Callithrix jacchus: one gene and its partner. The protein of the gene in region 2 interacts with the protein of the main gene of each other region in a pairwise test. Links are inferred from orthologs where the notes say so. Each region holds a gene or a part of one and is shown on either strand. Other genes may lie near its edges.

What was found.
Region 1: the proteins of TPP2 (region 2) and PPP1R16A interact in binary tests that used the Homo sapiens proteins (3 or more experiments, as listed by UniProt). The two-hybrid records come from large-scale screens. The link is inferred for Callithrix jacchus from reciprocal best matches to the Homo sapiens genes TPP2 and PPP1R16A.

What each region holds. Positions count from the first base shown.
Region 1 is NC_133517.1:53,154,339-53,162,013, forward strand, and holds the start of PPP1R16A (protein phosphatase 1 regulatory subunit 16A), read right to left. Parts: upstream 4,050-7,675; 5' UTR 3,888-4,049; intron 1-3,887. Other genes in the region: FOXH1 (forkhead box protein H1), read left to right, coding at 5,918-6,091, 6,494-6,598, 6,686-7,507. UniProt on the Homo sapiens protein: Inhibits protein phosphatase 1 activity toward phosphorylase, myosin light chain and myosin substrates.
Region 2 is NC_133502.1:18,331,375-18,338,350, reverse strand, and holds part of TPP2 (tripeptidyl-peptidase 2), read right to left. Parts: intron 6,704-6,976; coding exon 6,597-6,703; intron 4,086-6,596; coding exon 3,931-4,085; intron 2,775-3,930; coding exon 2,658-2,774; intron 2,421-2,657; coding exon 2,320-2,420; intron 1,065-2,319; coding exon 968-1,064; intron 489-967; coding exon 351-488; intron 1-350. UniProt on the Homo sapiens protein: Cytosolic tripeptidyl-peptidase that releases N-terminal tripeptides from polypeptides and is a component of the proteolytic cascade acting downstream of the 26S proteasome in the ubiquitin-proteasome pathway.

The DNA of each region.
Region 1 (7,675 bases), on a different chromosome or scaffold from region 2:
CTACATATTATCTGTGGCTGCTTTTTTACAAAATGGCAGATTTGTGGAGTTTTGATAGATACCACAAGGTCAGGACAGGTGCAGTGGCTCACACCTGTAATCCCAGCAGTTTGGCAGGCCGAGGTAGGCGGATCACAAGGCCAGGAGTTCCAGACTGGCCTGGCCAATATGGTGAAACCCTTTCTCTACTAAAAATACAAAAATTAGCCAGGCATGGTGGCACATGCCTGTAGTCGCAGCTACTCGGGAGGCTGAGGCAGGAGAATCAATTGAACCCAGGAGGTGGAGGTTGTAGTGAGCCGAGATCCCACTACTGCACTCCACCTTGGGCAAAAGAGAGACTCCGTATTTTTTTTTTTTTTTTTTTTGAGACAGAGTCTCACTCCGTCACCAAGCGCCAGGCTGGAGTGGAGTGGCATAACCTCGGCTCACTGCAACCTCTGCCTCCCGGGTTCAAGCAATTCTCCTGCCTCGGCCTCCTGAGTAGCTGGGACTACAGGCACATGCCACCATGCCCAGCTAATTTTTTTGTATTTTTAGTAGAGATGGGGTTTCACCATGTTGGCCAGGTTGGTCTCAATCTCTTGACCTCGTGATCCGCCCGCCTTGGCCTCCCAAAGTGCTGGGATTACAGGCGTGAGCCACCGTGCCAGGCAAGACTCCATCTTAAAAAACAAACAAACAAAAACGCCAAGCATAGTGGCTCACGCCTGTAATCCCAGCACTTTGGGAGGCCGAGGAGGGTGGATCACAAGGCCAGGAGTTCAAGACCGCCCTGGCCAATATGGCAAAACCCTGTCTCTACTAAAAATACAAAAATTAGCTGGGCGTGGTGGCACATGCCTGTAGTCCCGGCTACTCAAGGGGCTGAGGCAGAAAAATTGCTTCAACCTGGGAGCTGGAGGTTGCAGTGAGCCAAGATCGCGCCACTGGAGTCCAGCCTGGGAGACAAAGGAAGACTCCATCTCAAAAAAAAAAAAAAAAAAAGACTGGATGTGTGGCTCATGCCTGTAATGCCAGCACTTTGGGAGGCCGAGTTGGGCAGATCACCTGAGGTTGGGAGTTCGAGACCAGGCTGGACAACATGGAGAAACCCCGGCTCTACTAAAAATAGAAAAAAATTAGCCAATTGTGGTGATGCCTGTAGTCCAAGCTACTCGGGAGGCTAAGGTAGGAGAATCGCTTGAACCCAGGAATTGGAGGTTGCAGTGAGTGGAGATCACACCACTGCATTCCAGCCTGGGTGACAGAGGGAGACTCCATATCAAAAAGAAAAAGGAGGTCGGGTGAGGTGGCTCACACCTGTAATCCCAGCACTTTGGGAGGCCGAGGAGGGTGGATCACAAGGCCAGGAGTTCAAGACCGCCCTGGCCAACATGGTGAAACCCCATCTCTACTAAAAGTACAAAAATTAGCTGGGCGTGGTGACACACGCCTGTCGTCCCAGCTACTAGGGAGGCTAAGGCAGAAGAATCGCTTGAACCTGGGAGACAGAGGTTGAAATGGCCTGAGATTGTGACACTGCACTCCAGCCTGGTGACAGAGCGAGACTCTGTCTCAAAAAATAGAAAACAGATAAAAAATTAGCTGGCATGGTGGCATGCACCTATAATCCCAGTTACTGGGGAGGCCGAGGCAGGAGAATCATTTGAACCCAGGAGACAGAGGTTACAGTGAGCGGAGATCGCGCACTACACTCCAGTCCGGGCAACAGAATGAGCCTCAATCTCAAACAAACAAAAAGTCAGAAAGCACATGGTTAGCAAAGCCTAAGATGTTTACTACCTAGCCCTTGACAGAAGAAGCTGGCCAACCCCTGATCTAACACATTTATTTGGTGCTACCAGCTTCATCATCACCCCCACCTTCATCAGCTGCTCCTTCTGTCTGGAAAGTTCTTCCACCAGATCTTAGGATAGCGTGTTCCTTCTTGGGACTTAGATAACATCTGAAGTGTGACCTCCTCAGAGTTCTTCTGTGGTTACCTTGTTATTCTCTTACCTCATTGCCCTGTTTTAATTCTTGACACGTCACTTACTGTTTGTTTACCTGCTGCATCCTCAGAACCTGACTCACAGGAAGCACTCACACTCAGTAACTGCAATGGGCTGAACAGGTGAACAGCTGCTGAGCCTGTGGTCCAGGGGTCCCAGCACCAGATGTGACATGGGAGGCTCTGAGCTCATAGCTGAGCAAGTCTGATGAAAAGGCCTCACTTAGGTGTGCGTGCACCAGTGCCAGCAGAGCCTCGGCATGAGAGAGAGAAGAACCTGGAACTGCCACCCAGTTTTCATTTTTGCGAACGAATAGATGTGGCACAGTGCTAGGGCAGGACACACTGGGGGCAGAACAAGGGTGGAGCTGGGGGTCTGGTGTAATCTGTGGGATCAGCTGAGACTGAGGTTCCTAAGCTACAGGCAGTGGAGAGTTGTATCAATTGGCTGCTTATTTAGACCAGAGGTTCAAGAACCCCCAGGACATAGACCCCCAAAGTGAAGACATACAGGAGGAGCCCCCTTGCTAGGTACTTGCTAACCCAGGCAACCCTCGGGGCAAAATGGAGTGCAGATACATCCCAAGCAGGTGAGGGATAAGGCCAGGACAGGGCAATCAAGAGACAGGAGGGATGGTCCCAACCAACAGGGAGGAAATCCAGCTCAAACACCAGGAGGGGAAAGGACCCCTAAGGCCTCCACCATCCCATCTCAAGGCTGGGAGACTTGGGGCAGGGGCAGGCAGCTAGCCCTGCAGAGCTCTGAAGGTCCACCACAGGGACACGCATGGAGTCAGCCGGTGTGCAGGTCTACTAGGCAGCCCCCAGCTCCTCAGGCAACCCAGCCCCACGCCGCCTGAGCTCCTCTGGGACAGTCGTGGCTCTGGATCCCCGAGGTGAATCAGGCAGCGCTGCCAAAGGCCTCTTCAGGAGGCCCAGGGTACTGCAGGCAAGACCCTTTTCCCAGGGAAAGCCCAATATGACCAGGAAGCAACTGGGGCACCAAGACGCCCAGGAGGGCTCACTGCTGAGCTAGACACGCTTTGAAAAAGGCAGCGGTACCCCCGCCTCCACTTCCACCCCCAAGTAGGGATACAGGATGAAAAGGAAGGCACAGAGCTTTGGGGAGGGCCAGCTTTGCTCTGGCTCCCCTAAGCCTAGAGTGACTCTGTACACACCCGTCTCTGCACCCATGGAAATTAATCCCGTCGTGCCCGGGGCCTCCGCTCTGATACAGACAGGGGCCCACACCAGTCCTGGACACTCCTTCCCAGGCGGGGTGCTTGCTTAGTTAATTCTTGCCCTGATCCCATTTCCTGAGGGGTGGCCCGGGTGCCCAGCACTGCAAGTGAGGTCACTTTAATCCCCGAAAGCTGAAGGAACTTCCTTCAGAGAGACTCCACTTTCTCCTTCAGCCTAGCTCCAAAGCCCCCACAAAGCTTGGGTAAGTCCCTTCTCTGTGGCCTTGATTTCCTGATCTGAAAATGTAGATAATTCCGGAGTTGTCTACTTGACCGGCAGGCTGCGGAGAATCCACACACCTTTACCTTGGAACAAAATGCGAAGCAGCCTCCAGCTCCCAGCCTTTCCTGTCCCTTGGCACCTGCTGCCGTGGGACTCAGCCAGCAACGCCCAAGGCGGCCAGGTGGGACCTGTGCCCTGGGCGCCCGCGTGACGGCAGCCGCGTCTCCCGAGGGCCCCTCCCTGGCCTCCTCCCTCCGCAGCCTCCTCTCTCCCCTGGGCTTCCTCCTCCCTCCCTCCCCTGAGCCTCATCCTTCCCCGGCCCGGCCCCCTCTCTCGATGTCGACCCAGTGCCCATTCTTCCGCTGTGCCCAGCCGGGGACCCTCTCCCTCGCTCCGCTCTCGTCACAGGACCCGGGACTCCGCGCCTCACCTCGCGCCCCGCACCGGCCGCCGCGCAAGTGGGTCCGCTGGCTTCCGCGGGTCAGTGGGCCCCGCGCTCCCAAAGGTGCTGCGGGGGCGGGCCCCGCGCCCGGCCCTCGCCATGGCAACGCTACACTTCCGGCCCGCATTACCTGTAGCCGGAAGCCGCAGTGCCCCGTGGGAGCCGGGGGCGGGGACTGGGGGGGAGGGACATCGGGGGCGGGGTCTGGGGAGGGACATCAGGGGCGGTGCCTGAGGAGGGACGATCAGGGGATGCGGCTGCCGGGGTCCGCTGCGGGCGGCCAGGCGATCCTTCTGCGGCTGCGACCTCCTCGGGCCTTGGGTGAGACGGCGAGCGCTCAAAGGCTCCTGGGACTGTGGTGGAAAAAAAACGAGTCATCGTTGGCAACCGGATGGACGCCGGCGGAATGAGTGGCAGTTTTGGGGGTGTTTCAGCCCGGGACACTGAGGTCGGAGAGGAGCGGTCGGAACTTGGGGAGCCTCCAGCGCCCCACCAAGGAGGCGCCAGTGGAGAGGGGTTCCTTAAGACTTAAGGGAAAGGCCCAGCGAGGTGGCTCACGTCTGTGATCCCAGCACTTTGGGAGGAGGCTGAGGCCGGTGGGTCGCTTGAGCCCAGGAGACCAACCTGGGCAACACAGGGAGGCCTTGTCCCTACCAAAAAGTGAGAAATTAGCCGGGCGCTATGGCGCACACCTGTAGTCCCGGGAGGCTTAGGCGGGAGGATCGCTTGAGCCCAGGAGGTGGAGGCTGCACTGAGCCCAGATGACACTACTGCACTCCAGCCTGGGCAATGGAGCGAGACCTTGTCTCAAAACAACAACAAAGACTTGTGGGAAAGAACGACGCCTTGCTGACCGAATGGGGTAAGAGGCCACGAGTATTTCGCCTCCCGAGATTCAGGACTTTGCAACCTTAGCCTAGGGAACACACCAGAGAAGGCCTCAGCGTCGAGGTGATAACCGGAGTCCTGAGGGAAACAACAAGAGGTCCGAGGGGTGTGGCGGAGATAGAGGGAAAAGGGTGGCACCCCACAGAAAAGGCTCGGTCCAGCCCAGGCTCCTCCTCCAGGACACCCGCTGCCAGTCCCTCCCCTCCACACCTTGGGATGGGCTGGGCTCCACCATATACTTCAGATTTTCAGCCTTTTGAGGTGATCATGGTGAGGGCTGAACAAGAAAAGCTGAATTCTCAGAGAGAGCAAAAGCGTATTCCTGGGCCCCCATGTGTCCAGGGGCCCTTAGCTCTGCTGCCAGCACCAACCCCTGCTGCTAGTGCCCAGAGCTACTGTCCTCTTGGGCAAACTTGCCCCTTGTGAGGGAAGAGAACCTGGGATTTGGGGCAGAGTACCTAACACCAGCCTTGCTCGGACGGAGGGGCAGAGACGCTGATCAGATGGCTAGGGAGGAGGAGGTGGCGGGTCCGCCTGGACTCCTGAAGCAGCTCCCAGGAAATCACTTGAGTCCAAGTTTCCCTTTTGTTCCTGGGGTGGGAACTTCGTGGCCTTCTCCTCCCGAAAGCCCCACCCGATCATGTCCTGGGTAGGTATCTAGCCCTCATAGCCTACTAGCTGCTAGGTCTTGAACTCTGGGGACACTCTTCCTTGGGAGCTTAGCATGGGCTAATTACTCCCCCATCTGTTCAGTGGGGTCCTGTGACCCGGCCAGGGAAGGCGGGATAAAATAGTCATGTATCATGACAGACCCTTCGAAGAGGAGCCTGGCCACCCAAAGGCAGCTCAGGGGTGGAGACTAAGGCCTCAGGAGAAGCACCCACTAGAATCCTCTCTGCCCCTCCCTTCCAGATTAACCAAAACCTGCTAATTGTGGCAGCCCTCGGCAGGCTCCCCTCCCCCACAGCCTCTTCCTCCCTTCCCTCCCCTCCCCTTTCCATCCGAATGATAAAGGGCCCAGCCAGCCAGCCCCCACCCGGCCTCAGGCCCTGGCCCTGCCTCCCACACTGCCCCACTGCCCTGAGCCATCCACCAGGCCAGGCCCCTGCCCACACTGTCTACGGTCCTGCATGGGGCCCCGCAGCGGCTCCCGCCTGCGGCCCCCAGAGGCAGAGTCGCCCTCCCAGCCCCCCAAGAGGAGGAAGAAGAGGTACCTGCGACATGACAAGCCCCCTTACACCTACTTGGCCATGATTGCCTTGGTGATTCAGGCGGCACCCTCCCGCAGGCTGAAGCTGGCCCAGGTGAGATGGCCCTGGCCCCTACTCTCCCTTGCACTCCGAGGCTGGACTTTTCCCCAGACCCATTCCCGACCTACTTCCAGGCTCAAGCCCTGACCCCCACCCCTTCCTAGCCCACCCAGCCAATAGGACCAGTCCTGAGAACCGAGGGCCCTGAGGCATGACCCTTCTCCGGGAGCCCCCGTCCCCTCTGTCGTCCTTTGGTGTAAAATGTTCTTTGGGGAGAACGGGGGCCAACACCCTTGCACCTCTGAGCCCAGTAAGGGGGGAGGGGTGGGACACTGCCCCTTCCCCATCCGGGCTCACCGTGCTGGCCACCTCTGAGCCCAGTAGGAGGGGAGGGATGGGACACTGCCCCTTCCCCATCCGGGCTCACCGTGCTGGCCGGCCACCCGGCGGCTTCAGATCATCCGTCAGGTCCAGGCGGTGTTCCCTTTCTTCAGGGAAGACTACGAGGGCTGGAAGGACTCCATCCGCCACAACCTTTCCTCCAACCGATGCTTCCGAAAGGTGGGGCAGGGCGGGGGCGGGGCGCACGAGGAAGTCCTGAGCATCCAGGGTCGGGCAGCCCCACCCATGTCTGATCCCCACACCCAGGTGCCCAAGGACCCTGCAAAGCCCCAGGCCAAGGGCAACTTCTGGGCGGTCGATGTGAGCCTGATCCCAGCCGAGGCGCTACGGCTGCAGAACACGGCCCTGTGCCGGCGCTGGCAGAACGGGGGTGCGAGAGGAGCCTTCCCCAAGGACCTGGGCCCCTACGTGCTGCATGGCCGGCCCTATCGGCCTCCCAGTCCCCTGCCGCCACCCAGCGAGGGCTTCAACATCAAGTCCCTGCTAGGGGGCTCCCAGGAGGGGGCACCCTGGCCGGGGCTAGCTCCACAGAGCAGCCCAGTTCCTACAGGCATGGAGAATAGTGGGGAAGGGGCTGTGCCTACCCCACCCATGCTCTCCTCTGAGAGGCCTCTGTGGCCCCTCTGCCCCCTTCCGGGCCCCACGAGAGTGGAGGGGGAGGCTTCCCAGGGGGGATCCATTGGGCCCTGTACCCTCTCCCCAGATCCTAGGCCCTGGCCTCTCCACTTACTACAGGGCACCTCAGTTCCTGGGGGGTTGTCCAGTGGGGGACATAGGGCCTCCCTCTGGGGGCAGCTGCCTACCTCCTATTTGCCTATCTACACTCCCAATGTGGTAATGCCCTTAGCACCACCACCCACCTCCTGTCCCCAGTGTCCACCGTCAACCAGCCCTGCCTACTGGGGGGTGACCCCTGAAACCCAAGGGCCCCCAGGGCTGCTCTGGGATCTAGACACCCTCTTCCAGGGGGTGCCACCCAACAAAAGTATCTATGACGTTTGGATCAGCCACCCTCGAGACCTGGCAGCCCCAGCCCCAGGCTGGCTGCTCTCTTGGTGCAGCCTGTGAGGCTTCTAAGGCAGGGGCTGCTCCTCCTTCCTGCTCCCACCCCTGGCTTGTTGACAGGGAGCCAAGGCCAGTGGGGTGTCTGTGACCACAGCAGCCTCGAAACACCAGGCAGCAGCCTTGCTGGGAGTCCACGGTGTTTATTGGACTACCTGATGCATGGCCGTGGCC
Region 2 (6,976 bases):
CAAGAGACTCACCTATCTTTGATGTATGCTTTGATGATTTTCCCTTCAGATAGGCAGACTCAGTGTGCAGGAAGGAGAAACACTACACACTAGAAGAAGTTATACTGACCAGTGTCTGCAAACTTCACGCTTGTCCTCTAATTCAGCACAACTATGTGGTGAAAAAGTTGACACAACCTATTCTTCACCAACTACAACAAACAACAGCTTCTCATGGTTTGCAAAAGTACTAAATGCAAAGTTATGGAGTTTTTTTTTTAAGTATGAACATTACCATAACAAGAAACCAAGATTTTGTTAGTTCAGAAAACAGCTCCTGTTAATTCTAAAAATCACCATCAATTTTATACCTGATGTGGATAGGCGTCGCCTGAACCCATCTGTCTTTTGTTCTGGTCAAAAATAATCCACAGTTGGCTGTCAAATTCAGATTCATATAATAGTTCACAAAGTAATGGGCAGCTTGGAGTTACTTCCCCACTCTTGGGCTATAAAAAAAAGTACTTGGCATGATTTGCATATAATTTCTGATACAAATTTTTAATATTGCTATTGACATGAGACTTTCATTAAAAAAATACTAAAAATAGTTGTGGTAAAATTTTTGAAAATACAGAACATAGAGTGTTTTGGCACTCATAAAATTCACTGCTCTCTTACCACCATCAGAAGGCAGAGGTATTTCTGAGGCATCTAATAACCCCTGGGTCACCACTAGACATCAGTGATTTTATAAACTAAGGCTCAAGGTTTGGTCACCACTCAATTACATTTTAAGGCTTTAATACTAAATGGTACTTTATTACAAATTATAATTTCCTAAAGAGTAATTTCAAATTAACCAATGTTAATTGATTCTGTTTCACATATATACCATATACACTATCCTTCCATTTTTGACTTTATGAATCATAAATAAAACACAAAAGTTCATCCTAAGGGTATAATTTTCTAGGCAAACACTTACTTGATGAAAGTTGTATGTCAGGACCATCTCATACAGTTGACGGTTATTTGGCAAAACATCTCTTGATCCTAAAGGTTTTGTTTTTGCACTCACTGGGCTGTAATGAGAAAACTACATAACTAATTTGATTCAAGAGTTCATCAAATGAGACAAAACCATAAGCAACAAAATTTGTAACCTATTGCAGAAAGTGACAGATGAGCCTTCCTGAGAGCTATCCTTTTCAGTATATTCTACAATATTTTATTCCTTAACTTACATAATTATTTGATTGTATCATATAAATACATAGTTTAAATATTGCAATAAATATTACAAAGGCAATCTTTTCATGACAAAAACATTTTCAAATGTCAACAAATAGCTCTTAACACAACCAAATCCCAACCCTAGGGTGACAACTCTAGAGGCACTGCAGGACAGGTTCTGATTTGGACCCCTTGTGCAAACTGTTGACAGTGCTGGATTGTGCACAGCACGGACCACCCCAGGTCCCTGCTGCTCACCACAGTGGAGCAAGGGCCACACTCAGCCCTCCTCCTGGTCAAGGGAATGGTATTTCATATTCTTAGTAGTCCTCTGAAGCAAGTTACTAACATACAGGTTTTATAAAGGAAAAAACTGGCACTGAAGAGTAAGTTTTAAATATAGTTTACAATGTCAGTGAAATATAGTTACTCCTTTAAATTTAGCTCCAATTTTTGAGATTTAGGAAGAAGACATTAAGACGATATAAGTTGGATATACCTTCAAAAGCTGGAGGTTTTAATTTGTATTGATAATTCTAGGAGGCAGTATATCTTTAGGCATTACTGTGTCACTGACTCTTGTCCCTAATTGGTTATTTCAATGCACTTATGACTAGGCTTCATGCTGATGAGTTAAGGTCAGACTAAACAATAGAAAGCAGGTATCTTTATGACACAGTGAGTGTGTGAACACAGGTCAAGGTGCCCTGGTTTTCTAAGGGGACGTGCTGAGGCACAAAAGCAGACTATAGTACTTAAGTTTCTACCACTCAATAAAAACGTCAATATTGCAGCTTCTAAAAATGATTGCATTAGGATTCACAAAATAATCAGAAAGAATGTTAACTTGCTATTTTATGGCAAGAAATAAAAAGGTTAACGTCCACTGATCCGAACTAGTCATGACCATCTCTGACTTTGCTGCTCAGGTGGGACAGTGAAGCTAGAAGCTGATACTGGGGCTGCCTTGCAGAGATCTGCAAGGATAAAATTCTTACCACTAGCATGCTTGTTGATTTTTTTTAAAAAAGTCTCCTTTATAAGAGGGTAAGAGATCCCCCATCTATATTCAATATTTGTAGCCCCTAAAACATTGAATGATACCGTAGTGTTTGGACCCAGCTCTTCAAAGTTATGCAGGGAGCCAGATCTTCGTATTTCAAGGAGGACTGAACATCGAAACGGTTGATTCCTTCCGATGCATGCTACAAAAGGTATTTATCAAATTACTTTCTCAAACTTTAGTAACAATAAGCAATATTTTGTACCTAAAATAAATGTGTCCAATATAAAGTTTATAAGTACCCACACACAAAGACGACTGTTATTTTCAGAACCATAGGTAATTTCCCTTATTAAAGTTTACATCTCACCAATGAAATTATTCTCCAGTAACACAAGTAACGGACATTAAAAATCACAGAAAATGTTGTGGAACTTACAATGTTTAACTGAGGAGCAGTACACACTATCCCATGGAAAGAAATGGTATAATCAATGTTGACATCACTGAGACTTGCCCACCAACGAGCAATGCAAAATTCAATCGCTTTTCCACCCTGCAAATAAAAGTAAATAAAATATCTTTTTTTTCTCAAATTACAGAATATAAATACTAGCTGTTTCAGAGCAATTCTGTTTTCAAACTTTTCCTGTTTGTAGCAAAAAAACTTGAAAACCTTTTAACTGCTATGCTAAGAGTTAGACAAATCATTTGCAGAGATATGGTGCAGATATTTAAATATACATAGTTATTTACTCATAATCCTATGCTTCTTAAAAGCATATGTCATAAAAGGTCCTAGACAGTTTCTGAAAGCAGACAAAAGTAAATGTGCTTTTCTTATTTCAAAGTGGAATAAAAAATTAGGGTCAAAAGAAAAATAATCAAGAATAATGACACAAGAAAGATACAACTTTGTAAGGCATATTCAATAGGCACAGTTGAGTTTGGGCTCACAGCTACTTGGCAACCAAAACGAAATGATGTTACACTCATTTACATCTTTCTCCCTTCTAAAAAATAAACATAAGGGGAAAAAAACCTGCGGTTAGCACTGAGTTTTTAATTAAGTTTTCTAGTAATCAGTGAATTTAAAAGTTTAAAAAGATGGGATCATGTAATACTGATCCATGGAAGAACACAAATTAAAATAACCAGAAACAAAGAGATACTGGGAAAATCCCGCAACCATCTGAAAACACAAAGGAGCGAGTTGAAGGAAGAACGTCAGTACTTTCACCTTCCATGGAAGAAGGGCTAGTCATTTCCATCACCACAGACAAGAATGCAGATCTGCCATCATTTGAGATAACTCAGACATGAAGCAGTAGCAGTTTCCCTATAATGCAAATTAGCCTCATAGCTTCCTAACAACCTGGCATTAGTAAAATAAATTAAGTGGCATGCAAACAAGTCTTCAAGGAATAATCTAAATCAGGATCCAAACTACAAGGCACCAGAATCTACCAGACAAGTATGTTTTTTTCACTACACTACTCAAGAATTAAAGTGATGAATATTTACCTCCAACTTGGTTTCAAGGACCCTAATTCGATTTTCTATCTTCCTATTTCATTTTTATAGCATTAAAAAAATACACAATTCCAGTGTGCTTAATACAAACCATAAAATCAAATACAAATACCTAGTCTTAGCCCATACCGAAAAGGTAAATAAATTGTTTAAGGATTATAAACTGTAATTAAACTCACTAGGACAGGAAAAGCTTCAGTCAGTGTTCCTTTCTCTGGAAGAGAACAAAACTTATAGAATTCATGGCTTCGATATGCTCTTTGCTTCACAAGCTGGACTGCATGAAGAACAAACTTTGCTGACACCTCAGAAGAACACGAACACACTGTCACTTCTAAAATAGGAAGGAAAGAAGCAAAGCTTTAAACTTGTAAGACCTAAAATTGGCATAAAGTGGCTTGAATAATTCCCATTTAGGGAATTAATAGGGATCAAAATAAAATGACACACTCAAATGAAATCTGCATATATTTCCTTAAAAACAAACAATCAACGAAATATTAATAAAGTTAGAAGGGCAGATTTTCTATGGGAAAGAAAGAAACTGGTGTTAAAAAGAACCACTATGATGCTGCGAACACCGAGAAACAGCAAATTGTCATAGACGCACACGCAACTATACTACTCGGGCACTGTCTAAAATCTCTCCTTGTTTCAGCTGAAAACCTATCAATTCCTGATCAAGGAAGGAAGGTTATATTTTTGGAAACCTCTATTTGTTATCATGCCTCAGTTCCTCACTGGTAACTTTTCCTAATCTCTCCTTTTGGTCCACTTGTGTGCTGTGTGCTTCTGCAAAGCCTGACAGGACTACACATGCTTAACTTTACTCTGAGGCAGTGCTGGAGGTAAGTCACAATTACTGCAGTGCCGGATTGGAAGGTTCTCTAAAGAACAGCTAAACGAATCCAAGGGAACTAAAGCAAGGAACAATCCCACGGTTCACAAAACCAAGTGGGCACAGAGCTCTCAGAACCTAGTCAGTTGCTAAGAACACAAAATCTAGTGTTATGACAATATTTCTAATTATTTGAAATAAAACTAAGACTGCTAAATGCTCTGAACTACTTGCATTTGGGTCATTTGATAATTTTTATTTAAAAAACAAATTATTTTCAATACCAACCTAAACCAATCATAATCAGGGCATTATAATGACTGCCATTTATCACTAAACAAATACCCAATTCAGTATTAATTACTCATAGCTTTGTATTCTTTAATTTACAGTGCACATTTCACCAGAGCCTGGAGCTGTATAACTCCAAGGGACCTGGTGAGACTGGTATCCCAGAACAGTTCAACGCAGCAACTCCTGACTCCACCCCGCAAAAGTACTGTCAAGTTTCAGTATAATCCCAAAGAAGACAAGTTATGTACCAAGTACTCTATAACATCTCTAATCCTTACAACAGACTAAAAACTATATTTATAGTTGAAATAGAAGTTCAGATCATTTAGAAACCTGACCCAGGTAAACATTAGTGTATGGCAGAGTGTGGATCTGAACCCAGACCTCTCAGTTTCCAAAGCCTGTGCCTTGCTGCTACTCCATACTGCCTCCCTCTAATCCAATTTTCTTAACTCAGTATCTTGGACTAGATGTTCCTAAGGCCTCTGGAAGCAGGGTCCTTGTCTAAGCAGCTCACCACCTTAGCCCAGTGAAAAGGTCCTGGCATACAGATGCTTATGAATGAGTCTAGTACAACCCCTGATAATCCTCAGAAGCCTCTCAATGCTGCAACAGCTCCATATAATCCAGTGTGTAAATTAACAGGCTATATTGGGTGCTGTTTAATTCATTGCTTTAGCTCTCAGCTTTTGCTATTATTTTGCCCTTACCTAGTTCCATAAAACAAGAAAAGTCTTGCATTTCCTGTGATACCAGGTGACAGACAGACTGCATACAGATAGATGACCAGAAGATGGTATGAAGAACCGAATACAACCAGCTCTTTCCAAACCAGGTTACACATGTGTGATTCCAATATTTCATTTTAAATCAAGTCTTAGATGTAAATATATCTGTACTTTCAAAATAGTATAGAAAACACACTCCCAAGTGAAATATAAGCCATTTTTACTAACAACACCTATCTACCTTATAGGGTTCTGATGGGACTAGACAAGATAATCTCTATAAAGTGCTTAGCAGAGGGGCCAAATCCAAGAAGTATCAATAATGCTGGCTACTAATTTAAATTGGGTGACACTTTCTTGACTGCCCATATTTGCCTTCTTTGAGTGAGCTTTGACAGCTGACATACCACCCCCCTCCCCATAGTGACTGCTAAATTGTAAATTTAGGACATATAAATTATGAAGGAAAATATGGTATTACCCATAGCTCTTGCATAAAAGAATGACATGAGCACTCTCATAGGACTGTAACATGTTAATTCAAGAGCACTGTTTTAGGCAATCATTTACCCTCAAAATTTCAGAGACACTGAAGTGAAAATCTTTTATAAGCTTCTAATTTGATTATAGAACTTTAAATTAAAGCTCTATTTCTAAAATTCTAAGAGTTTAACGGTTTGAGGTTTAAGCAACAGCTGCATTTAAACTGATTTTTAAAAAATCATTACCTGATAAGGCATTATTCTAAACTAAGCTCAAATCTTAAATATTAAAGAGATCTTAAGGTGCCCTAATTTGCTGTATGAGCCAATGCAAAATAGTACTAGATCTTAAAACGTTTTGAACTTTATAGAAAATCTAAGGTGCCCAAATACGTATAGTAGTATCAGGGAAATATATGTTACAGATAAATGAACCTCACATAGTTACAGTCATCAGAATGCAAACAGAGATAAGTGGGCACGCAGATTTTAACGTTACCTACCAGCCCATGTTGCACCCTCAGGAACCTCAATAAAATGCCTTCGAATCTGACCAGGTTTAAAGTGTACATCTGTAAAGGCTAGATCATAATGTGATGACTCATTTACTCTGAAAATTAATAAAAGTAAATAATTAAATGTAACACTTTCTTAAAAATTTTATATTTATAATAAAACCACAGAAACTCGATTTTATTGGATAAATGCAAAATAACAGTTCATTAGAAAGAAACACAGGGACTTAAAAGTTGGTTACAAAACAGCAGGTATAATATTATCCAATTTTTGCAGTAGGTTAGCAGAGATAACCTCTGAATAGCAGAGTATAGATGATTCTACTTTTTGTCTATTTCATGATTTTAAGATACATTCATACACACTA